3 linked regions of the Callithrix jacchus genome follow. The protein of the gene in region 1 purifies or fractionates together with the protein of each later gene. This does not show direct contact. Links are inferred from orthologs where the notes say so. Each region holds a gene or a part of one and is shown on either strand. Other genes may lie near its edges.

Evidence for each region.
Region 2: the proteins of DMWD (region 1) and USP12 purify together in Homo sapiens (affinity purification with mass spectrometry; 3 studies listed by BioGRID and IntAct, with this or other methods). This does not show direct contact. The link is inferred for Callithrix jacchus from reciprocal best matches to the Homo sapiens genes DMWD and USP12.
Region 3: the proteins of DMWD (region 1) and USP46 purify together in Homo sapiens (affinity purification with mass spectrometry; 5 studies listed by BioGRID and IntAct, counting the BioPlex papers as one, with this or other methods). This does not show direct contact. The link is inferred for Callithrix jacchus from reciprocal best matches to the Homo sapiens genes DMWD and USP46.

Annotation. Positions count from the first base shown.
Region 1 is NC_133523.1:39,941,550-39,949,144, reverse strand, and holds the end of DMWD (dystrophia myotonica WD repeat-containing protein), read left to right. Parts: intron 1-748; coding exon 749-931; intron 932-4,189; coding exon 4,190-5,467; intron 5,468-6,313; coding exon 6,314-6,388; intron 6,389-6,734; coding exon 6,735-6,782; 3' UTR 6,783-7,294; downstream 7,295-7,595. UniProt on the Homo sapiens protein: Regulator of the deubiquitinating USP12/DMWD/WDR48 complex. Functions as a cofactor that promotes USP12 enzymatic activity.
Region 2 is NC_133506.1:146,332,848-146,341,758, reverse strand, and holds the start of USP12 (ubiquitin carboxyl-terminal hydrolase 12), read left to right. Parts: upstream 1-4,162; 5' UTR 4,163-4,389; coding exon 4,390-4,437; intron 4,438-8,911. UniProt on the Homo sapiens protein: Deubiquitinating enzyme that plays various roles in the regulation of the immune response and inflammation.
Region 3 is NC_133504.1:144,021,439-144,029,657, forward strand, and holds part of USP46 (ubiquitin carboxyl-terminal hydrolase 46), read left to right. Parts: intron 1-2,248; coding exon 2,249-2,446; intron 2,447-5,582; coding exon 5,583-5,661; intron 5,662-6,807; coding exon 6,808-6,909; 3' UTR 6,910-8,219. UniProt on the Homo sapiens protein: Deubiquitinating enzyme that plays a role in behavior, possibly by regulating GABA action. May act by mediating the deubiquitination of GAD1/GAD67.

The sequences.
Region 1 (7,595 bases):
TAGGGGTCTAGAAGCTGAATGGGATCCTATAGAAAATTGGGGTCTGGAGATTATGAGGCTCCTGGAAGAGATGAGCATGTGGAAGCTGATGGGAGATCTTGAGGAGAGGCCCTGGCAGGGAAATCTGCAGGTGTGATTCAGGGCATCCCTAAAGCAGTGTGGTGAGAGCCCTGGCAGTTTATGGTAGTCCCAGAAATGTTGGGGATCCTCAGAGCCCACAGGTGATAAATGGGCCTAAAATGTGGGAGGCCATGAGGTTTGATGGGTCTCCGAACTGTGGCGGCTTAGCGACTCCAAAGTGAAGGGAGTACTGGGACGTTAGGCTTCAGAGTCCTGGGAATTTGGATGACCTCAAGGTCTGGGGGTCTTGGAATATTGTGGTAATAGGTCCCAAGGGAGTTGCTGAGGTTATAGGCTGGAGAGGTGGGGCTAAAAGGAATCGGAGCTCAGGAACTGTGTGGACCCAGAACCCTGATGCTGTGGACAAGGGTGTGTCTGAATTAGGGGTGACCCAACTTTGGGGAGACACTGTGGTCAAGGGGGATCCTTACCATCTTTTTCACTCCTCTGTGATTTGGGTCCCCTTCCTGCCTGTGGTTGCCCCCTCCTTCTCAACCCTCCTACTCACCTCCCCACTTCCCTCTGGGTTCTAACCCTGCTTCCTCTTAGTGGTTTCCCCCAACCTCAACATCTTCTTCCTTCCCCTCAGTGGCATAGACGGTTAACTCCTTTTCTCCCACCCCTCAAGTCCATTGATCTCAACAAGCCAATTGACAAGCGGATCTACAAGGGCACCCAGCCCACCTGCCACGACTTCAACCAGTTCACTGCTGCCACGGAGACCATCTCCCTGCTGGTGGGCTTCTCAGCCGGCCAGGTGCAGTACTTGGATCTCATCAAAAAGGACACCAGCAAGTTATTCAATGAGGAGGTGATTGCACCCCGCAGAGTCCCCAACTGCTCTGCCTTCTCACCCACCCACTATTCGCCATTAGGCTGCAGCCGCCTGGGGAACAGTGTAGACCTGAGATGGGCAGGACGAGGGACAGATGGAGAATTAGGGGACAGCAGCTAATGACAGCTGCACTTACTGTACCCAGGCCCTATGCTGTGTTACCCCCCCATGCTGAATACTCCTTAAGTTTTTTAATTTTTTTTAACTTTTATTAATTTTAATTTTTATGTATTTGAGGCAGAGTCTCGCTCTGTTGCCCAGGCTGGAAGGCAGTGGGGCAATCTCAGCTGACTGCGGCCTCCACCTCCCCGGTTCAAACAATTCTCCTGCCTTAGCCTCCTGTGTAGCTAGGACGACAGGTGTGCCATGCCCAGCTAAGTTTTGTATTTTTAACAGAGACAGGGTTTCACCATGTTGGCCAGGCTGTTCTCAAATTCCTGACCTTGTGATCCACCTGTCTCGGCCTCCTAAAGTGCTGGGGTTACTTGGAGAGCGAGGTGTGAGCCACCGCACCCAGCCACTCTTTGGGTTTTCATCAATCACTGGATACAGAAGTGGGCTGCCTATTTTGCAGATCAGAGAACTGAGGCTAGTAAATAAGTTGGGTCTTAGTTGATGCCCTTGTTGTTTGATTTCTGGACTCTGGAGGCTTTGGATTCAAAGCCCTGCTGCACCATTTACCCACCACGTGACTTTGGGAAGGTGACCATTTTCTGAGCCTCACTTTTCCTCCTCTGCAAAATGGGATTCCAGTTCCTCCCTCGCAGAATTGCTATTGTAGAATCATACATGGAGACTGCTCAGTCCTAGGCCAACTTGGCACACAAGGAGATGCCAGCAAACGACCTTATCCTTGGGCAGGGACTGCTCTTGGCTTCTGTCTCATTCTCTCTGGTCCAGAGGAGGTGTTCCATAAATATTCTCAGAATGAGTGAATGGCTGAAGGGAGTGAGTAGAACAGCAAGTGGATTAAAAATTCATTAGCTCATCCATTCACAAATAGTTTTTGAGCATCTGTTATGTGCCAGGCACTGTTCCCAGCACTAGGGATATCACATCTCAGGGGCCTGGACAGGAGGCCCTGCCCTTTTGGAGCTTTCAGTCTAGCTGGGGAGACGGACAGTTAATCAAGTTAAGTCTTCGTGTGTCAGCAGGGGATTAAGGCCTGTGGAGAATTAAACAGTGGGGAAGGGGCTCAGGGAAGCTTGGAGAGGGTAGTGGGGTGGTCAGGAAAGGCCTCACTAGGAGGTAATATTGAAATAAGCACCTGAAGGAGGCAGGCGTGAAAAGTTACCTGGGGAAGGACATCCTTTTTTTTTTCTGAGGTAGAGTCTCACTCTGTCATCCATGCTGGAGTACAGTGGTGCAATCTTGGTTCACTGCAACCTCCGCCTTCCAGGCTCAACCAGTGCTCTCAATTCAGCCTCCTGAGTAGCTGGGACTACAGGTGTGCACCAACACACTGGCTAACTTTGGTATTTTTTGTAGAGATGAGGTCTCTTTATGTTGCCCAGACTGGTCTCGAACTCCTGGGCTCAAGTGATTCGCCTGCCTCGACCTCCCAAAGTGCTGGGATTATCGGTGTGAGCCACTGCGTATGGCCAAGAAGGACATTCTGAGTAGCGGGGCCAGCTAGGGCAAATGCAGGCTGGCACAGAAGCCGTGTGGCCAGAGGGAGAGAGGATGGTAGGTGAGTTCCAAGAAACAACAGAGGGACCGGCTCACGGAGAGTCTGGAAGGCCACAGAAAAGACTTTGCCTTTTACTCTTAGAGGGTAGCCTGTGGAGGAGCCTTTCTCAGCAGGCTCACCTGAGCCCTGGAAGGCAGAAATGGCTGGAGTGGTTATTTGCTCAGTTCTCCCAAAGATGGTCGGCACCTCATTCCCTAAGGGAGAGCAGCTCCTTAGTCACATAGGCTGGCTGCCTGAGGGCATTAGGTCCTCGGCCTCTGGAACCCTGCTTGAGAGAGGCTTCTAAGCATTGAGAGCCAGACAGTGCCAGGTGCTAGCTGATACTTCACAGAGCATCTCCGCGGCAGCTGCAGAGGACAGACAGGCCCAGGCAGTAGAGACTGAGGCCAGTCACACAGTATTGCAGGTGGTTGGAGTGGGGTGGTGAGAGGAGGTTACATTCTGGGTGTATTTTGAAGGTAGAGCCCCCAGGATTTGTTGAAGGATTGGGTTCAACAGGGGCAGTTGCTTACGTTTTTCATCTAAGCATCTAGCAGGATGGGGGGTGATCATTTGTCCAGGAATCACCTTCGAGCTGCCTTCTGGGTGCACTGATGTACAGAACAGTGAGCCAAACAAAGATCCCTGTCACCCAGGCTAGAGTGCAATGGCGCAATCTCGGCTCACTGCAATCTCTGCCTCCCTGGTTCAAGTAGTTCTCCTGCCTCAGCCTCCTGAGTAGCTGAGTAGCCACCATGCCCAGCTAATTTGTGTGTTTTTAGTAGAAATGGGGTTTCACCATGTTGGCCAGGCTGGTCTCAAACTCCTGACCTTATGATCCACCCGCCTTGGCTTTCTAAAGTGCTAGGGTTACAGGTGTGACCTAGGAGGAGCTGGCTTTCTGTGAAGAAATTTCTTGCTTGAAGTCTGACATAGAAAAGATTGGGGGAGGGTTAGGCAGAGCAGTGATCCCCAACCTTTTTGACACAGGAACCGGTTTTATGGAAGACAGTTTTTCCACAGAATGTTGTGGGGATGGTATTGGGATTGGGATGAACCAATATGATCCACCTCTGATCATCAGGAATTAGGTTCTCATAAGGAGCACATACCCTAGATCCCTCGCATGCGCAGTTCATGGTGGGGTTCGTCGGGTTCGTGCTTCTGTGAGGAGTGAATGCTGTGGCTGCTCCAGTAGGAGGCTGGGGTCAGGCTGTCATGCCCGCTCGCCCACCACTTACCTCCTGCTGTGTGGCCCGGAGGGTGGGGACCCCTGAGATAGAGGACAGTTCTACGGCAGGTAGGAAGGTCCCCTCACCAAAGATGGGACATCGAGGCTCCTTGGAGCACCCTGTGGCCACCTTGCAGCAGACCCCATTCCCCAGTGTTTTCATAATCTGGTGTCCATCTGTCACCCTCAGTTTGGGAACTTCTGAGGAGGGCCTGGTGTGACACCTGCTGTGTGAGTGGGGCCATGTCCAGCAGCCTTGGGGGCTTCGGGTTGGGGAGGAGATCTGCCTGGGTTTTACTGCCTTCTCCCAACCCCATCCTGTCTCCCCTGGCAGCGGCTGATCGACAAGACCAAGGTGACGTATCTGAAGTGGCTGCCTGAGTCGGAGAGCCTGTTCCTGGCATCACATGCCAGTGGCCACCTGTACCTGTACAATGTCAGCCACCCCTGCGCCTCAGCCCCACCCCAGTACAGCCTGCTGAAGCAGGGCGAGGGCTTCTCCGTCTACGCTGCGAAGAGCAAGGCACCCCGCAATCCACTGGCCAAGTGGGCAGTGGGCGAGGGTCCCCTCAACGAGTTCGCCTTCTCGCCCGACGGCCGGCACCTGGCCTGTGTGAGCCAGGATGGCTGCCTGCGTGTCTTCCACTTCGACTCCATGCTCCTGCGTGGGCTCATGAAGAGCTACTTTGGGGGCCTGCTGTGTGTGTGCTGGAGCCCTGATGGCCGCTATGTGGTGACAGGTGGCGAAGATGACCTGGTCACCGTGTGGTCCTTCACCGAGGGCCGTGTAGTGGCTCGAGGCCATGGCCACAAGTCCTGGGTCAATGCCGTGGCCTTCGACCCTTACACCACCCGTGCAGAGGAGGCAGCAACAGCAGCCGGTGCCGACGGAGAGCGGAGCGGTGAGGAAGAGGAGGAGGAGCCCGAGGCTGCAGGCACAGGCTCGGCCGGGGGCGCCCCACTCTCCCCGCTGCCCAAGGCTGGCTCCATCACCTACCGCTTCGGCTCGGCAGGCCAGGACACACAGTTCTGCCTGTGGGACCTCACTGAAGACGTGCTGTACCCGCACCCGCCCCTGGCCCGCACCCGTACCCTCCCTGGCACGCCTGGCACCACACCGCCAGCTGCCAGCAGCTCAAGGGGTGGTGAGCCTGGCCCAGGCCCTCTGCCCCGCTCGCTCTCCCGCTCCAACAGCCTCCCGCACCCAGCAGGCGGGGGCAAGGCGGGTGGCCCGGGCGTGGCGGCAGAGCCTGGCACACCGTTCAGCATTGGCCGCTTCGCCACACTCACACTGCAGGAGCGGCGGGACCGGGGGGCCGAGAAGGAGCACAAGCGCTACCACAGCCTGGGTAACATCAGCCGGGGTGGCAGTGGTGGCGGCGGCAGTAGTGGGGAAAAGCCCAGTGGCCCTATCCCCCGCAGCCGCCTGGACCCCGCCAAGGTGCTGGGCACCGCCCTGTGCCCGCGCATCCACGAGGTACCACTGCTGGAGCCCCTCGTGTGCAAGAAGATTGCCCAGGAGCGGCTCACGGTCCTACTGTTCCTGGAGGACTGCATCATCACCGCCTGCCAGGAGGGCCTCATCTGCACCTGGGCCCGGCCGGGCAAGGCGGTGAGTGGCCCCACGCCAGCCTGCCTGGGACCTGGCAGGACCCTTGGCAGGAAGAGGCAGGCATTGGCAGAGAGAGGGCTTTATCACTTTCACAGCCTCTGGCTCTGGGGTGACGGGAAGCCATGGAAGTCTTAGAGTGATGGGGTCTAGCCCTCGGCAACAGGCAGCAGAGAGGGGTGCGTGTGAGAGACGGCTGGGAGTGGGGGTGTCCAAGGCTGGCCGTCTGAAGAGCAGCAGATGGGCCCTGCATGGCCAGGTCTTAGTGCCTGTCACTCGAACCAAAATCTATTCCAGTTGGACATCTGTTTTTTTAAGTGGTGAAACTTTTTTGAGTGCTTTGGGCCAAAACGCTAGGGGGAATCTCAAGCCTGTGGGCCTGGCTGCCAGCGTGGGTCTGGGACTCAGGATCCGAGCCTCCTGCTGAAGGCGCAGGCTGGGAATCCCAGGCCCGGGTTCCAGTCCCACTCTCTGTGTGACCCTGGACAAGTCACTGCCCCCTCTGACCTCCAACTCATCACCTCTTAGAACAGAGCCTGTAGGATGGGCAGTGGGTGGATGCATTTGCCTGCTGGATGGGCTGTGGCATTGGGAAGTCACAGTAGGTGAAGCACAGGCCTGGCGCCCTGTAAGTTCAGAGCTGGTCTTGAGTGTCTGCTCCTTAGGGCTTTGGACTCAGGTGCCCAGGGTCCTAAAGGCCATGGCTTGGTTCCTTCTATCCTTGGTTTTGGAATCGTAGAGTCCTGAGTCCCTAGAACTTGAAAGCACAGTCTGAGCACCTCAGAGGCAAGATCGGTGGGATGCGGGGAGTCTGGTTGAGTCCTAAAAGAGACCCCTCTGTCTCCCTAGTTCACAGACGAGGAGACCGAGGCCCAGACAGGGGAAGGAAGTTGGCCCAGGTCACCCAGCAAGTCAGTGGTAGAGGTAGGACTGTCCCTGAGTTCTTTCCCCAGCACCTCAGGGTCCCTCCCAAGTTAGAAGGAAGCCCCAGTTTCCCCTTCCCCTCCCACCCTCACCCTTACCCCATCGTGTCACTCAGGATCTGAGGAGGACTTTGATTATTGAGTGAAAGTGCCAACTGCCAGGACAGGAAGCTAAGATGCAAGTTCCCAGCCTAGAGCAGCGGCCTTGGGGGACTCTGGGGTGGACCCAAGGGCAAGGCCAGGGTGGCAGCAGTTTTGGGGACTCTGGGCTGGCTCCCTCCCCTTGACACTGGCTGAAGTCTGGGTGGTCTCTAACCCCTCCCATCTCTCCCTCTCATCTTCCCCAGGGCATCTCCTCCCAACCAGGCAACTCCCCGAGCGGCACTGTGGTGTGAAGCCACGGACATTGGGGCCCCCACCCCACGCCCCCAGCCTCCTAGCCATAACCCTTCCCGCTGACCTCATGGATCAACGTATTAACAAGACTAACCATGACGGATGGACTGCTCCGGTCCCCCAACCTGCACAAAATTTGGGGGCTCCCCAGACTGGCCCAGACATTGGGGGGATGTCACGGTCCTTGTGGCCTCAGCCTTGTCCTCCACCCACTGCCAAGTACAATGACCTCTTCCTCTGAAACATCAGTGTTACCCTCGTCCCCGTCCCCAGCATGTGACTGGTCACTCCTGGGGAGAGACTCCCCGCCCTCCCACAAGAGCCCCAGGTATTTGGTGTGCCCCTCAGTCGAGTGTGCAGGGCCGGGGGTGGTCCAGCCCTTGCCCGGCCCCCACCCCAGCCACCCTTGCTATTGTCTGTGCTTTTGAAGAATGTTAAATTATGGAAGCCCCTCAGGTTCCTCCCTGTCCCCAAGGACCTCTTATTTATACTAAAATTCCCTGTTTTCTCAGCGGCTCTGTCCCCTTCGGAGGAGATGGTGTAGAGGACCTGTGTGTTTGCTCTTCGGTTCTAGGCAGTCCACTTTCCCCAGAGGAGGAGTGCAGGCCTGGTCTCCTGCCCAGCATGTCCCACCCCTTTTAATAGCAGGAAAAGCTGGAGCCCGGGAAGGGAAGGGACCCTTGAGACACACAGCTGGTGACCCATTCCAGAGAAGAGCATCCTGCCGGCAGCCAGGGCAGGGCCTCATCAAAGTCCTCAGTGGGTGTTAATTCCCAAAACTGCCCTGAACCACATTTCCTGGGCCCTGCCCA
Region 2 (8,911 bases), on another chromosome or scaffold:
GACCTCTCCCCACCACTTTCTTTCCCAACCCACCACAAGCAAAGCTTCACTCATTTATGTGCGCTGGTATAAACCCACATGCCTTCAGAGAGAAGAGAGGTGGCAGAACTATATAAAGTGACTTATGTTAAACTGTTGAACAGAATGAATAACGGAAAATTTGAGGCAGACTGTAAGCAACTGGAGAGTGTAGGATTGTGCAAAGGTATGCAAATGAAAAAATTATAAAATGCTGTGCTGACTAGGCCGGGCGCGGTGGCTCATGCCTATAATCCCAGCACTTTGGGAGGCCGAGGTGGGAGGATCACTAGGTCAAGAGATCGAGACCATCCTGGTCAACATGGTGAAACCCTGTCTCTACTAAAAATACAAAAAATTAGCTGGGCATGGTGGCACAGCCTGTAGTCCCAGCTACTCGGGAGGCTGAAGTAGGAGAATTGCTTGAACCCAGGAGGCGGAGGTTGCGGTGAGCCGAGATTGCGCCATTGCACTCCAGCCTGGGTAACAAGAGCGAAACTCCATCTCCAAAAAAAAAAAAAAAAAAAAAGCTGTGCTGACTAAATGGATTAAGGTTGGACATCATTCATTTACTTGCCTGGTCCCTGAGGCATCTGGGTATATTTTGTAGTTTGCAGATTCAAGAAGGCCCAAAAGGAGTCAGTTGTACACAAACATCTTTTGCTAGGCACAGGAAGCTCTTTGTAAAACCAATTACACAGCTGTGTAAAGCTGTGTTCTAAAGCTAGATTACCCTTTCCTAGCTCAGGGTGCAAAAGTGTGGAGTCTCAGCCAAACTTATTCTCCAATGCATTACATATGGTAAAGAACACTCAGTACAACACCTAGCACACACACCTCTCTTTTACATTTGTGGCTCTCCAATCAACCATAGGCTATGGAGACAAGGCATTGTGAGGCTCTGCGATTAGATTTCATGACTTTGTGAATTTAGATGGCTCCAATATCAACTAGATATGACTCCAGATAATTCTATCAGAAATCCATTTTATTTACTTTTTAATTTAATTTAATTTTTTTTTTTTTTGAGATGGAGTCTCGCGGGGTCACCCAGGCTGGAGTGCAGTGGCATGATCTCAGCTCACTGCAACCTCTGCTTCCCGGGTTCAAACGATTCTCCTACCTCAGCCTCCTGAGTAGCTGGGATTACAGGCACCTGCCACCGTGCCCAGCTAATTTTTGTATTTTTAGTAGAGATGGAGTTTCTCCATACTGGCCAGGCTGGTCTTGAACTCCTGATCTCCTGATCCACCTGCCTCGGCCTCCCAAAGTGCTGGAATTACAGGCATGAACCACTGTGCCCAGCCAATTTAATTTAATTTTTGAGATGGAGTCTCGCTCTATTGCCTAAGCTGGAGTGCAGTTGCAGGATTTCAGCTCACTGCTTCCTTCCAGGTGCACTTGATTCTCCTGCCTTAGCCTCCTGAATAGCTTGCTTGCAACCATGCCCAGCTAATTTTAGTAGAGATGGGGTTTCTCCGTGTTGGCCAGGCTGATCTTGAACTCCTGACCTCACGTAATCCACCCACCTTGGCCTCCCAAAGTGCTGAGATTACAAGCAATAGCCACTGTGCCTTTCTCATTTTATTGTAATTTTGAGACAGGGTTTTGGTTGTTGCTCAGGCTACGGTGCAGTGGCTCAATCATGGCTCACTGCAACCTCAATCTCTTGGGTTCAAGTGATGTTCCTACCTTGCCTCCCAGGTAGCTGGGACTATAGGTATGCACCGTCATGCACCATTGATTTATTTTATTTTTATTTTTAGTAGAGACAAGGTTTCACTATGTTGCCCAGACTGGTCTTGAACTCACTGGCCTTAAGGGAGTTGGTCTCAAGCTCAAACAACCTCCTGCCTCAGCCTCCCAAAGGGCTGAGATTATAGGCATGAGCCACTGTGCCCAGCCTAGAAATTTATTTATTTATTTATTTATTTATTTATTTAAGAGAGTCTCACTCCATCACCTAGGCTGGAATGCAGTGGTGCAATCTTAGCTCACTGCACCTCCACCTCCAGGACCCAAGCTATCCTCATGCCCCAGCCTCCTGAGTAGCTGGGATTACAGGTGTGTGCCTGGCTAATTTTTGTATTTTAGTAGAGATGGGATTTCATCATGTTGGCCAGGCTAGTATCCAACTCCTGACCTCAAGTGATCCTGACCTGTCTTGGCCTCCCAAAGTGCTGGAATTACAGGTATTAGCCACCATATCTGGCCTAGAAATTCATTTTAGAAAGGCTTTGTTCCTGTGGTGTGTTAGGATTAATGGGCAAGGAGGCATCGGGTGGTAAGTGCGGATGGAGGCAGGGCTAAAATTCTGGCACATCAGACCTGTTTGCTGGAATAGAACAGCAAGTGGGAAGGACAGGATGACCACAGCTATTTATCAGGATGGACAGACAGACATGGTTCAGAGCCATAGTGACACTCAAAATACTCAAGATGTAGAAGCCTTGTCCAAACGGGGTAGAAAAGAGCAAGAAAGAATTCAGGTGGGTGATGCTATCAAGTCTAGACAGGGAAGCCCCTGGCTTGGGTATCAGGGCTCTTGGCTTCCACGGAAGCAGGCACCTGGAGAACCAGGCCAGATACCATGGGACTTGGCTATATTCAATCTGCATTCCCCCCCCCCACCAAGCAAGCTTATAATGGAATCACTATGGAAACAGTATTCATGTACCAGAAGTCTATTTTTCACTTACATTTTGTTTGAATGCTTTTTGTTTTTGACTGCTTTGAACACTTGAGGTGAGGCACTTACGATTTAGAGCTGTCTGAATTCAGATCCACAACCCCACTGAATTAGGGGAACCCAGAAAAGTACCCCATCACTTCAGCAATTAGAAAATATCACGGGTCGGGCGCGGTGGCTCAAGCCTGTAATCCCAGCACTTTGGGAGGCCGAAGCGGGCGGATCACGAGGTCAGGAGTTCATGACCAGCCTGACCAACATGGTGAAACCCCGTCTCTACTAAAAAAATACAAAAATTAGCCCGACGTGGTGCCACACGCCTGTAACCCCAGCTACTGGGGAGGGTAAGGCAGGAGAAACGCTTGAACCTGGGAGGCAGGGGTTGCGGTGAGCCAGGAACACGCCATTGCACTCCAGCCTGGGCGACAGAGACTGTGTCTCAAAAAAAAAGAGCTTTTTAACATCATAATTTATGAAGCTATTCCACTCACTTGAACTACTTTCTCAAATAGGAAAAAATAAAGCTGAGCTGCCAGACACGATGAACTGGGTGCAATGATGAATTTTATAAGAGGAGAAAAGAGGAACTACCCATGCCAGTAGCCAGCACTGCCTGAGGATTTCTCACAGGGCATTTTTCTTGCTTGCGGGCTTCTTGTTTCTGGTAATATCATCATCACTGCTGGCTTGAGATCTTCTCTATTCTGTAGCACAATGTGCAGATATTTAGAAACCTATTCTAAATTTATGGGCAACAGGCCGACAGGATTCGTTGCTCTCCCCACTTCCCCCATTACTTATCTTTCTTCTTAATTCAAAGAGTTAAACGTGTAATTTGTTCTTTGCCGCTTCATTTTTATTTGATTATTTTGTCTTTTTCTAAGTTGTGTTTGACTCCAGGAATTCATCCAATACACGGAAAAAGAAACCAAGTTCTTGGGACGCATACCTGGGTTATCTTAACTGTGCAGAGCATGTTTCCTCCCACTCCGCACGAAGTTACCCAGATCATCGCCTCCGTTTTCTGTTTAGGCAGCGGGAGATCACTATAGCCTCGCCCGCGGTGGGTGTCGCAGTCTGGCCCCTCCCGGGTTCTCCCAGGTCGCCGCAGCCGCCCCCGCGACTCCTCGCCGCCCCTCTTCCTACGAGGGGGCTCGGGCGCCCGGCACTAGGACCGCAGGGACGCAGGCAAAAGACAGTGCCCGCCCTCGGTCCCGCCCTCGGCCTCGCGCGGGGTGGGGCCGGGCAGGAGTTCCTTGGCTCGCGCTCCCGGGCCGCCGAGGGGGGCGCCGAGGGGTGGGCGGGGCTGCGCCGCCGGGCCGCGCTGCTGCCTGGCAGGCCGGGCATTAGGGCCTCAGCGGAGTCCGCTCCCCTGCGCGCTGGGCGGGGTGGGCGGCGGGCGGCTTCGCGGGCAGGCGCGGGCCCGGAGGCAGCGGCTGCGCCCTGCGCCGGGGCGGAGCCGGGGGCGGGCCGGCGGCCGGCAGGCGGGGGGCTGGGGCCCGAGGCCGGGAGTGCCTGAGCGCCGGCGGCGACGACGGCAGCGGCGGCCCAGCGGGCTCGGTGCGTGGGTCCGCTGCGGCTCGGGGTCCGCCCGCGGGCTGCAGTGCGAGCGGGCGGCCCGGCTCCCCTCATCCCCCGCCCGCCGCCGCCGCTGTGATTGGGTGGAAGATGGCGCTGGGCGGATGGAAATCCTAATGACAGTCTCCAAATTCGCCTCCATCTGTACCATGGTAGGTGCAGCGGGCGGGCGGCAGGGGCAGCCGGGACCTCTCGGGCGGGCGGACGGCGCTGGACCCGTTTCTCCCTGTGGCCGCTCGCGGGGCCTAGCGCGGGGGCGGGCGTGCGGGCGGCCCGGGTGGGGGCGGTCGGACGGCGCTCGGGCGGGGAGCGCGGGGGTGAGCGGCCCAGGCGTCCGGGGAGGGGGCGCCGCCTGGCGGGCCGGGGCTGCGCGAGGGTGGCGGTGAGGGGCCCACGGTGCGGGACGCGGCGAGGGGTGGGCACTGGCCTCCGGGAGTCCCCGACCGAACTGCTGGTGTCCGCGCCGGGCCAAGGGCCGAAGCGCGCCTGGCCTGTGGCGGGGCAGCGGGTGGGCGCGCAGGAGCCCGAGCGCGGCCCTGGGCCAGGGTCGCCGAGGAGGGGGCGAGGAGCTGCGGAGCCGCGAGGGCTCCATTTCCTCCTGGCCGCGCGCCGAGAGGGAGGTGTCCCCGGGCGGGGTGGGGGTCGGCGGGCAGGAAGGAAGGGTCTCTGCCGGGGCGGGCTGCGCTCTTTCCCGCCAGGGAGAGGACGGAAGTCAAGTGCAGATTTCCTCGCGCCGCTGGCCGGGCCGAGTCCCCGACCCCGCGCTGGCGGAAAGGGGCGTATGTAAAGATGGAAACTTTAAATAAGTGTTGTTGAAATTCTCTCCATTTTTCTCTTCGGAGAGGCACGAGCTCTCGTTTCCAGCCGTGTGTCCAGGTGGCAGTCTTGTCTGTGGGAATGCACGTTAATCTTTAAAAGCATTAGCTTTCCTGTCATTTGTTTACTTCGGCCCACCAGACACATCTGTATGTGGTGAAGCTACGTCTGTCTGTGTGCGGGGACCGCCTGCCAATGCGATGATATTTGTTTTCTTAGGGCGCTTAAATAGACTATAAAGGAAAAGCGCTAATCCTCGCTGGAAGTCCCGAATTAAGCAAAACGTGGGCGCGTTTAAAACTTGGTGTTTTGTGCTTGGCCAGAAGGACCACAGTTTTCCACATGATGAGACAAATTCGTTTCATTAGCGCCTCATGAGCTTATATGTAGGGATCATAATTTATGAGTCATCACCGAAAAAAGTTGTTCTTTGCAACGTGGACCTATTGGTTGTTATTAAAGACTTCTGAAAGCTTGTGTTTGATGCCTCACTGGCCCTATTTATGCAACCGATTTCATATAGGAGAGCCTCAAGCAATTTTCCATCTAAGGATGGTCCATTGTGTATATTTTTCTTTGAGGAGTGGTGAATCTGATCGGAAAGATGCTTTAAAAGCAGATTCTCTACTGCATGCTGAGGAACAGTACAAAAAATGGCTGAAATCAGCTGGACATAAAATCGACAATATTTAAGAAATCATATTGAAGACTCCATTTCCCAACTGGATGGTGGTTCTTTCTCAAAGTTTACGTTTTAGGAAGGCATTGGTATTAAATGGACTATTTTAAAGTGATTTTCAAGAATTGTTTGGGCTAATTATTTTCAGATACGCCAATTATTATCTTACTCAGTTTCAAAAGAATGCGATAATTAGGTCTTTTACAGTGATACCAGATTGCTGATCTACACACATTGTAATGATCATAGTTCACTGTCAAAGAATGGGATTTCAGGAGTGGTGTGATACTCTTATTCATTCACTCAGGTACTGTACATCTACGTTTAGCAGCTACTAGGTGCTAGAGGTGGGGCTGAGTGCTGGGGATGCTGTAGTGGTCAGGATAGCCCCGGCTTTCATGGTGTTTACGTTCTTCATGGACACAAACTGTATTTAAATTAATATATTAATAAATATGTGCTGTAATCACATTAGGACAGTGAGACACAGGGATTTGCCAGCGTCGCACACTTAGTAAGTGGGATTCTGATCTCCAAGATCAGAATCGGGAGCTCTTTCTAGGGCTTCCACCCAGATGCATTAATTACAGGTGGGGTGTGTGTATTGTTGGCAAATACTGAAAGTGCCTGGCCGAACGAGATTGTTCAAAAGGTACTATTAAAATTGGGTGTGTCTTTATTCGTATTTGAATACATTCTAATGTACCCTCAAATAGTGCTAAATATCTCAAAGTAGTTTGCAGTCTTATTCTTTAAAGAAAATGCTATCTGTCCTCTTGAGAATCACAAAATTGAAAAACAAAGATACCTCTTTAGCTTTGTAGGTGCCGTTTTGCTAGGCTTGGAATGCTTCCTCTGCCCTACCCCCCATCCTTGTATTGCGAGGATGTGTACCTCTTAAGCAGGGAGCTTTACTTGAATAATCCTACCCCTCTCCAACCCAACCCTCCATCCCCCTCATACAACTTCATGCCATTTTTGAAATGTCAGTAGCACCTATCATATTTAAACTGTGTAGTATATTTTTCTTTGAACTCTTACTCAGTTGTGAGGGCCTTGAAGGGGAAGAACTATCAGACTATCATTTACATTTACTTCTACAGTTTGATCTGGAGTACTAAGTTCTGCATTCAGTATAAAAGTGTTAAAAGTCCTTCCTATCTCCTGGAATGCCGGGTGAAGCAGGGATGATACTGGGTGTGTGTGTGGAATGGTGGAGAGAAGATGGGCTGGACTTAAACGAAATACTTCTCAGAAAATCAGCAGCTGTGAAAACATTTAGGATAAGTTGAAATATCATTCTATAAATACTGAAGTGTATATAATTTTTTCATTTGTCAAAATAAGGTACCTGGACACATGTGCAGTACCTTAATTGGGTTAAGTAACTGTTAATAGTTTTCTTCAGCTGTGTCGTTATTTTAGATCACTAGTGTTCTGCTTACATGTGAAAATTAGTAAAATTTGTTTTTCATAAGATAGTATTATAGCCTGACCCAAATGATTATGTTTAGATTGCAGTGAGTACATTTTCAAGGGTACCTCTTGAAATACATCTTTTTAATTTGTTAGTGAAATAATACATTTTCATTATCACATGGTGTTTATTTTGACTTTGAAGTAGTTTCAGACTTCAGGGCCTGGCACAGAGTACCTATGTATCTGTTAATATTATACTTAATAAGTGTGAACTAATGGGAAAAGTGACAGAATAGTTGTAGAAGGGCTCTGTTTTGCAGTTGAGGTGGCTAATCCGGGTGGTCCGTCATGACTGTTGTTTGCATGGAGGCAGGCACTGCTTACTGTTAGCTCCATAAATGTTAGCTCTGCCTCTGATCATCATTCTCTCTTCCTATTTGGGTTGTAGTAGTCATAGCTAGGAAGGCGTTGTCGGGAGTGGGACTGGACAAAGGAGGAGTTGTTGGTGCAGGGGGTGGGTAGAGTTAGATCATGGGGTGGCATGGCCTGGCTGCTTGCCCACCCTCATTTACAAGAGCTTGAGATTAGATCCATTAGAACGTGGTGGTAATATGGCCAAAGCCGGAAGGAAGGTGCTGCTTGGGAGAGTCTGATGGGCTTTACTTCTGAGAAAGCCTGTGCCTCACCCAGCACACGGAGCATAGTAAACTTGACTTGCTGAAGGTTAAGCTGGCTGTCTTTTCTTTTTTGTTTGTTCTATTTTAATAACAAAGTTTTTAAAAATATATAAATTAGAAAGGACATATATTTGCCTGTTCTTACTGCCTCAGTCTCACTGGGATCCAAATAAGAGTATGTGTAGTCAGCGTAGTTTATCCTTACTACAGAAATAAAGGCAAGGTGGGGCGAGCCTCAAATCCCATGCTTTGTTGGGAGTGTGTGTGTGGAAGTCTCCTCTTCATATTATATTAAATAATAAAATTCCTTTTTCGTTCTCAAGAAATAGGGTGGATATAGTTCTTTTATTAATAAAATATTTCTTATTTTTAAATGAGTATTTTATTAGTAAAATAGTACTTTCATGATAGGAGCATTTAAATGTGAGTTGCCATGTTTTACTTGTCTAATTTTTGCTGTGTTAATTTAAGAAGGAAGAAAACATAAGCTTCTTAAGCCTGCTTTTTTTTTTTTTTAAGACAACATTAAAAAATAAGGAATCTTCTATTACATAAATGTTTGGTCCATGGAATGTTTGAGCTTGGTGGAGAGAGAACATTTAGAAGAAGTATTATAAAAGTTTTATTTAAGCCCACTGATCTTTTGAATTTGTCTAAAATACATTTTTAGACATTAGACATTAAAAATGATACATTCTCATAGAAAATCTGGAAAATATAAAAACTCTGAGAAAGCCAAAGGAAGATCAATTATTTTACCTTCCAGGGCATATTTTCTTTGACTTTTTAAAAAACTCGAGTTATATTCCCTAGATATAATTTTATATTGTTTTCCCATAAATGATTATCATGTTATAAAATTTGCCCAATTTTAGGATGAACATGAAGAGTTTAATGTTAGAAAATGATGAGGTGTTGAGATTAGCCCAATAAAGCATAGTGGTAGGGGACTAGGTCATGGACAGGTTATATGTTTAATGATTATTAGAGGGTAAAGTAATATAGTTAGTAGAAATGGAATTTTATAAGAGGTGA
Region 3 (8,219 bases), on another chromosome or scaffold:
CATTCATTCAGTCATTCAGCAAATACTTGTTGAGTGCTATCATGTGCCAGATACTTTTTTATGCTGGATAAACAAGTAGTAATAAAATATAATCACTATTCTCTTGGAATTAAGGGTAAATTATAGAAAGTACTTAGAATAGTATATAACAAATAGTAGACACCCAATATTATTTTCATTTGTATTGCGTAAACATTGGGACCTCTTTTTTAGAGACAGAGGTTTAAAATATATGTATCATTTCATAAGGACTTGTGAGGAAATTATTAACACATCAGTTGTAAGAATAGGTGATAAGAGGCGGGGCACAGTGACCTTTAATCCCAGCATACTTTGGGAAGCTAAGGCAGGCCAATCACTTGAGGTCAGGAGTTTGAGACCATTCTGGCCAACATGGTGAAACCCTATCTCTAATAAACAGACAAAAATTAGCCAGGTGTGGTGGCTTGCGCCTATAATCCCAGCTACTCGGAAGGCTGAGGCAGGAGAATCTCTTGAGCCTTGGAGGCGGAGGTTGTAGTGAGCTGAGATTGTGCCACTGCACTCCAGCCTGGGTGACAGAGTAAGACTCTGTCTCAAAAAAAGAAAAAAAAACAGGTGATAAGAAAGTTTGAAAGTTACTGCATTCTGAATTGAAATAAGACCCAATGTTCTCCATCTTTTTTGCATACCAGACAGTTACAGCTTTTGGAAAATCTGAAATAACCAGTTGTTCCCCATTAGTCCACCCTACAAGCCAGGAAAGTTGCCATTTCAGTCTCCCGCGAAGGCTTCCTGTGAGTTAAATCTGTCTTGGCAGTATTCAGGGCAGCTGACAGATGCTCAATACTGCTGTCTAAAACCCTCAAGGGTCTAGACCTGAGATTGAGATCATTTCTCTGCCCAGCCTTCCCAGGCCTTCACCCCAAACATGTACTACTTTCTTTGCTGCAAAACTTACACAAAGTTAGTCACATTGCAGGCAGGCGTCAAGGAGGTAGGCAGGTACCTTTTGTTAGTGAGGAAGGTCACTCACATCTGCCCCCCATCCTTACGACCTCAGTCTGTCTAAGACTGGCCTTGGGTCTTTCTTTGTGGCACTTAGACATTTTTGTTCAGCCCTGGAGGGTTTATACATTACAATGTCTTGTATTCCTATGAAATATGGGGTTCCTTGTAATTCTTATTTTTCTACTGATGTTTTACTTGCTTATTTTTATGACCAGGGCTTTTCCTTAATAGGTTCCTTAAAACTATTCTTTTAAAATTTGTCCTTTTCACATACTATGCATTAAAAATGTACACAAACTAAACAGCATGTACACTTAATTCAGTACATTCATGGAATGGGGGGCTGGAAGGAAACTGGAAGAACCTCTATTCTAGCAGTGTGCTCTGCATAAACTGTTACCTTTGTGACTTTTTACTGAGGAGTGTTAATGGTCACCTAGTAAAAAAAACTTTCTATGTTTATATATTTGGGAAATCCAACATCAAACAACAGAACAATCCCTTTACTGGAGGATTTCTCAAAATCTTCAGTCTGGTAATGTACACATAGGATCTTCAAAGCAGAAAGTAGCATCGCCCAAACTTACTTGGCCACAGAAACACCACATCTGTTAACATTTCCAGTGCTCTCATGAGCCCAGTTTGGGAAATATAGCCCTAAACCAACCCCTGCATTTTATAAATGAGGAACTAGAGCTAGAGGAAGGAAATGACTTGCCCAAAATCACAAGGGTCAGAATGATATTGAGCCTGGCACGCTTGGTGTCCTGATGCCCAAGAGTGTGTGTCAGAAGCATCCATCCCCCTGCCAGTCCTCAGAACCTATGAGTCCAGCCGTCGGTACTATCCACCTTGTCCTCTTCCCAGCCTCCTGTTCTCAAAATCTCTTAAACCTCCTTTCCATCATCTCAGGGAAGATTGTCCAAATATCATTCCTCTCTGGAAGGCACAGGGCAGTGATGGAGAATAATTGCATGGCCTATTTTTATTTGTGCGAAAATTCTGGAACATCACCTTTCACCAAACAGAGTCACACCATTGTACATTTCTCCTGCTGGAATGCTCTTGGGAGCCAGGGATATAGGATAAGTCAGCTCTACATAAGCCAGCATACTTTTATCCTTGCAAACTATTTGGTTGTTTGCTGGTTTGAAGTTTCATAGACCTCCCCTCCTGTTCTGTTTGTGCAGATGGCAGTGTATTCTCTTCACCTAACGGGTGTTGGGTACAACTGATTTTCTATTTCATGGTTTCTTAGGATGAGAGTAAAAAAGCTGCCCATGATCTTGGCCCTACATCTAAAGCGGTTCAAGTACATGGAACAGTTGCACAGATACACCAAGCTGTCTTACCGTGTGGTCTTCCCTCTGGAGCTCCGGCTCTTCAACACCTCCAGTGATGCAGTGAACCTGGACCGCATGTATGACCTGGTTGCTGTGGTTGTTCACTGTGGCAGGTAAGGGCACGACCGGAAGCAGGTGCACAGGGTAAGCGTAAGGTTACCCTTGGCTGAAATATATCCAGCTGCACCTTTCCTGTGCCATGGCACTAAGCGTTTTTGGGATCTCTTCCAAACTCTTACTAATCATCTCAATAAATACATAAACATGCCTACAGACACATTTAAAAAATAGCATTCCAACAGTGATCATCTAAATGTTCTGTTATGAGAGAAATAATAAATCTTCATTGCATAGAAATAATGGTTCTGAGGAATTTGAAATAACATGGAGAAACAAATGTCTATGCTATGATTTTAATTTTTAAAAAGCCAAGTTAGATTTACAGTATGATCTCAAAAGCATTTTAAGATGTGTAAATAAAGACTAGAAGCAATGGATCAAATTTAATAATCTTTGGCACTTGAGTGATTAAGAACATATTCTTAAAAAATATTCTTTGTTATTTTTGGTCTTTCCCCAAATTCTAAAATAAGTATATAATCAGAAAAAAGAAAGTAAGAGAGAGAAGGCCTCTAGATACGGAGAGGCAAAGCATTTTGCCGAAATTTGAGAAGATTTTTTTATTCCGTAATTTGGTATAAATGCAGAAGAATATACTGAAAATTCACCTGTTTGTTATTCTTTGCTCAGCTGGGACAGCTTTATGTGCTACCTTGCGGGTAGGCACAGCTTTCCTCCTGCCCTCCTAGGTTTTAGATTGGGGCCTATCACAGAGAAAGAGTCTTTTTCTCCATCTGCTGAGATGGATTATAGTGAACACATTACCAGAAGACTACCATTGCCACGTGGAGGGATGGATTAATTTGTTTTTTAATTGTGTGCTAGGGTGGATGTATCCGAAACTGTAACTTCATATCTGAAGCACCCCATATTTTGTCCTGTGTGTATTGACTTTAAGTCACTGGATATTTTCTTGTATTCTCAGTAAAATTGTATGTATGGGCTAGTTGTATACCTGTGTTGTGGTGTTCTTCCCTGAAGAACAGGTGTTACTCTTTTGAAGAGCACAGGTTTCCAGATCACTGGAACCTAGCCTTGAGCGCTGGGTGAGGCCTCACATTGGTGCAGGGTTGGAGAAGGTCTTAGGGCAGGCAGAGCCTGGGACCTGGTAGGCATTGCAGCTAAAGTGGGTGGCAGGGGTGGTGTGGATGGGAGGGCCTGCTGGGAAAGCTAGGCGAAGGAGAAACACAGGTGCCCCTTGCACGGGGGGCTCTGTGAGTATCTGATTTGAATCCTTGGGAGGACTGGCAGAGACCCATGTGAGGGAACTGAATGACCAGTGGGAGGTTGGGTTCTCTAAGGTCAGTTTCCGTAATGTGAGCACAAGGTAAGAAAGGCCCTGGCAGCAAAGATCAGTTGGTGCCAAATCAGGCATGCTACTAACTAGGATTCTTCAAACTCCTCCCAGCAGAAGTAGGGCCGTTCTCCTATGTGGAGTGGGGCTGGCCTGTGCATGGAGATTGGGTGGCTTCCAGGTGGCACTGGAAAGCTTTGAGGTTAGGGAGCTGGGCCTGCCTTACCTTCCATGCTCCTGGCCCATAGTTGCAGCAAGTGCACAACCTTGTGCATTGATTTCTGCTGCAGGTTTTTTTTTAAGCTCATGTTTTCTGGGTTCCATGCCAGGATCTGAAGGTAGAGTAACGAAAAGACACACAGCACAGGGGCCCTGCCATCACAAAGCTTACAATCTATCTGGAAATACTGATAATGAACAAAAAAAACCACACCACTCTATTATCACCAAAAATAAACCACTGCAAGATACTTTATGATTTTGATCAGTGCTATCAGGAATAAACAGGGAGATGAGTGAGTGGTGGGAGATACCTCTTCAGGTGAAGTGGTCAGCAGAGATTTATCTGGGGAGGTAACATCTGAGCTGAGGCATAAAAAGAATGCAGTTGGGGAAGGATCATCTCTGGCAGAGTTTACAGCAATGCAAAGGCCCACAATGTGAAGGGGGCATGTGTGAGAGGAGCCTGAGGAGCTGGAGCTCAGAGGAAAGGGAGACGTAGCTGGAGGAGGCTGGAGAAAGAGCAGAAACAGATCATTGGCATCATCTTGTGCTGAAAGAGGGTAAACAAAAGGGGAGGTTTTCTCAACTTTAACAGTGCATTAAAAAACAGTTCTAGGTTTAGGATTAAAATCCCCTTACTCGTGCAAATCTAACCTAACTACATAGTAACTGTTGCTTAGTTGTTCTTTCTGCTTTTTTCCATATAGCATACTGTATGGCTTTTTATTTTAATACTTGTTACTAAGCATCTTGGTTTGTTGATATTTTTCTAAAACAGATCATACAACTCCTTAAAATTCCCTTATCTTCCTGGCTTGCTCGAAGCAAAGCCTAAAATCTTACCTGCGATTTCTCCTGCACCTGCCCCTCAGTCCGCTCTGGTCTTCCTCTCCCCGCTCACTCTGCTGCTCTGGCCTCCTTTGGCCTCTCTGCTGTTTGTGAACACACCAAGTGTTACTCGCCTGCCCCAGGCCTTTCCACTTGTTATTCCCTATTTCTGAAACTTCCATCCAGAGCCGCATGGCTTCCCCCTACCCCCTGACCCCCTACCCCTACCCCTACTCCTATCCCTGCCATTTCCTTCAGGGAAATTTTCTTGTGCCCACATTATCCAAGTGGCCTCCCTTCACCGTCTATCAAATAACACCTCCTGCCATCGCTCAGATCCCATTACTCTGCTTCATCCTTCTCCATGACACTTCTCACCACTTGACCTAGATTTATAAGCTTAGTTTGTGTATTGCCAATCTAGCTCCTATCCCAAGTCCCAAATAAGTGAGGTCTTTGTTTTGTTCACTGCTTCTTCTCCTGACAGCTAGAATAGGGCCCAACACAGAGTAGGTAGAGAGTAATGTTTTGTTAATATTTGCTGAATCTGAGTGTCTGTTTTTCCTGCTGGATTATGAGTCCTTAGAAGATACCTCTCCTGCGCACTTTTGTATTCCCCTACATCCAGCATGGTGTTGTGGACATAGACATGGGCTCTATGCCAAGATCTTTGTCCTGATAACTTAGTTTTCCCCCCAGAGAATCACTGCTTGTAAAGAGCTCAGTAGTGTTTTATAAAGAGATCAATGTTAACATGCTAACTTCTTTTATTTGTTCTTTTCCAGTGGTCCTAATCGTGGGCATTATATCACTATTGTGAAAAGTCACGGCTTCTGGCTTTTGTTTGATGATGACATTGTAGAGGTTGGTTTGCAGATTATTCTCCAGTAGTCACAGGGCATCAATAGTATTTCGGGGAATGTGTATATATAGACGTTTTTTAAAGTAGGCCTGTTTCCTCATAATGTAACTTGAAGACCACTTACATTTCTATTCAAAACCAAATTCTGCTGATCCCCATGCTCTGTGGAAAGGGAGAAGGAGTGTGATCGTGGACTCACCGACTCTGTGTTCTCCACAGTTCAGCCACAGACATGGGATCTCTCTATCTCATCATGACTAAAGCCCCCTCTGATACAGGGCAAACAATAGACTTCAAAGTTCTATTAAGATTATTTTATTTTAACAAATTTTTCTTGTATTGATTATTGTTTAAAGTTTTTTTTCAGTCTGCTGGATCTGGAAATCTATCTTACACCAGTGCATTCTATGTATTGATTTTGTTATAAGAGAATACTAGCTGGAATGAATTCTACACTCAAAGACATGATGTATTTTAACCCACTAGGGTAGCAGTTGTAGTGGAATAACACTAAAAGAGATGAACTCTGGTGGCTGGAAAGACTGAAGGCTATTTTCAGGACCCACCAGTTTACCATTTGGGAGATGTCTTGGTTTCTTCAAAGAATGCCCACACAGGGTTGCTGATGTATGGAGACGTTGCCTTTTTTCCTAGAGATGTGCAATTTATGTGATGATGACCTTCAGCCAAGTCAGTGGAATTCTCCATTTGCCAGTGAAAGTTCCTAATCACGATTTTTTTTTTTTTTTTTTTTGAGACGAAGTCTCCCTCTGTCACCAGGCCAGAGTACAGTGACATGATCTCGGCTCACTGTAACCTCTGCCTCCCAGGTTAAACTGCCTCAGCCTCCCAAGTAGCTGGGACTACAGGCACGCATCACCAAGCCCAACAAATTTTGTATTTTAGTAGAGATGGGGTTTCACCATGTTGGCCAGGAGGGTCTCCATCTCTTGACCTCGAGATCTGCCCGCTTCTGCCTCCCAAAGTGTTGGGATTACAGGCATCAGCCACTGCGCGCAGTTCTCTAATCATGATTTTATAAGAAATTGTGTTCCTTGCATTTTAATGTATGTTCCATTAGTTTTTTATTTCCTTTTCCCAGGTATCATGTTAAGTAATTGTATTGTTTTCTTTCTTTTTTATTGCAGAAAATAGATGCTCAAGCTATTGAAGAATTCTATGGCCTGACATCAGATATATCGAAAAATTCAGAATCTGGATATATTTTATTCTATCAGTCAAGAGAGTAACTTAAAAGAACTGTGGGACTAATTCAAGTGGGGGGAAATGTTCAAAGCACTATTACCTGGTTTCTCTGCAGTCTTTCTTCTTCCCTAGTGGCCCACTATGATATCACTCCAAGTCTCAATGGTCTGGCTGTGTTAGACTCTCTCCTTTTCTGTTTTTACATACAACACTACTCTTGGTTTTATTTCGGTCTGAGGTAGAGTTAACTGCAATCAGATTGTAGTCAGATTTATATGAATAACAGTTGCTAATTTTAGGATTGGGTGAAAGCTATGCCATTCGTTATGTCTGGCTGTATTAGAGTGACATTTCCTATGAATGTCTACAGTCTATTTTAAGTGTTTGCTAAACTTCTACGGCTTCCAGGGTCTTCTGACAATGCATTCCTTTAACTTGTCCCTGGAAGCATTGCTACCCATTTTCAACTTCTCCACCTCTTTTCTCATACAAGGACAGAAGAATTGGGTAGATAATCACCTTTTAGGGTTGCAACTATAGCTTTAAGTTTGTGCAAGTGAAAATGTTGAAAAGTGAGTAACCTCGATACTAAAATCATCCTGGACATGGAACAGGGTGAAGAGAAGCTGTCCGTGGTGGCTGGTGCTGGCTGGCATTGGCACTGGGCTGTGCTGACCTTGCTGTTAGAATTCCAGGGGTTAAGAAGGCTCAGGGCAGGCAAAGCCAAAAGGAGGAAATTTTTGTGGACAATGAAAAGTTACTTTTTGTACGTTTCTACCAAAACCAAGTTTCAGGAAAATAACTCTGTGCTATTTATTTTCAGTCACACTTCTTCTGTAAGGCCCTGTGAGTTGTGTTTATTCTGTATCCGGCACTGCTAAGCTTTTCAAGGTATCTTTCCACTCCTGTTGGTGTGTGCAGTCAGTGGCTGCAGGGCTGGCACACCTCCCCTTAGCCAGTCAGCATCGACATTGTTCCTTATCAGGAATAGCAAAGGCACTGCATCTTTCCAGCTATCAGCACATTGTACAACTTAACTTTTTAACATAGTCCTTCTGTTTACTGAGGCACTGGCGAGTCCCAGGGCTGATATAGAACCTTCCCTAGAGGGAATACCAGAGTTAGCTGGGTATGAAGGTGGCTCAGAGGAAGTGTCTGTGGGCAGGGGGAGGAATGAACAGAATGGCGCTGTTTCTTTGGGTCAGACTCCTAGAATGCTCGAGAAGACAGATTTTTTTTGGAAGAACCTCATCTCACTGTAGTTACTTTTTTCCCTTTTATTATATATGTATTTATTAGAGCATTTGAGTACTGGTACCTTTAATTAAAAGGGTCGTTTGGTGTTTTGCCGTTG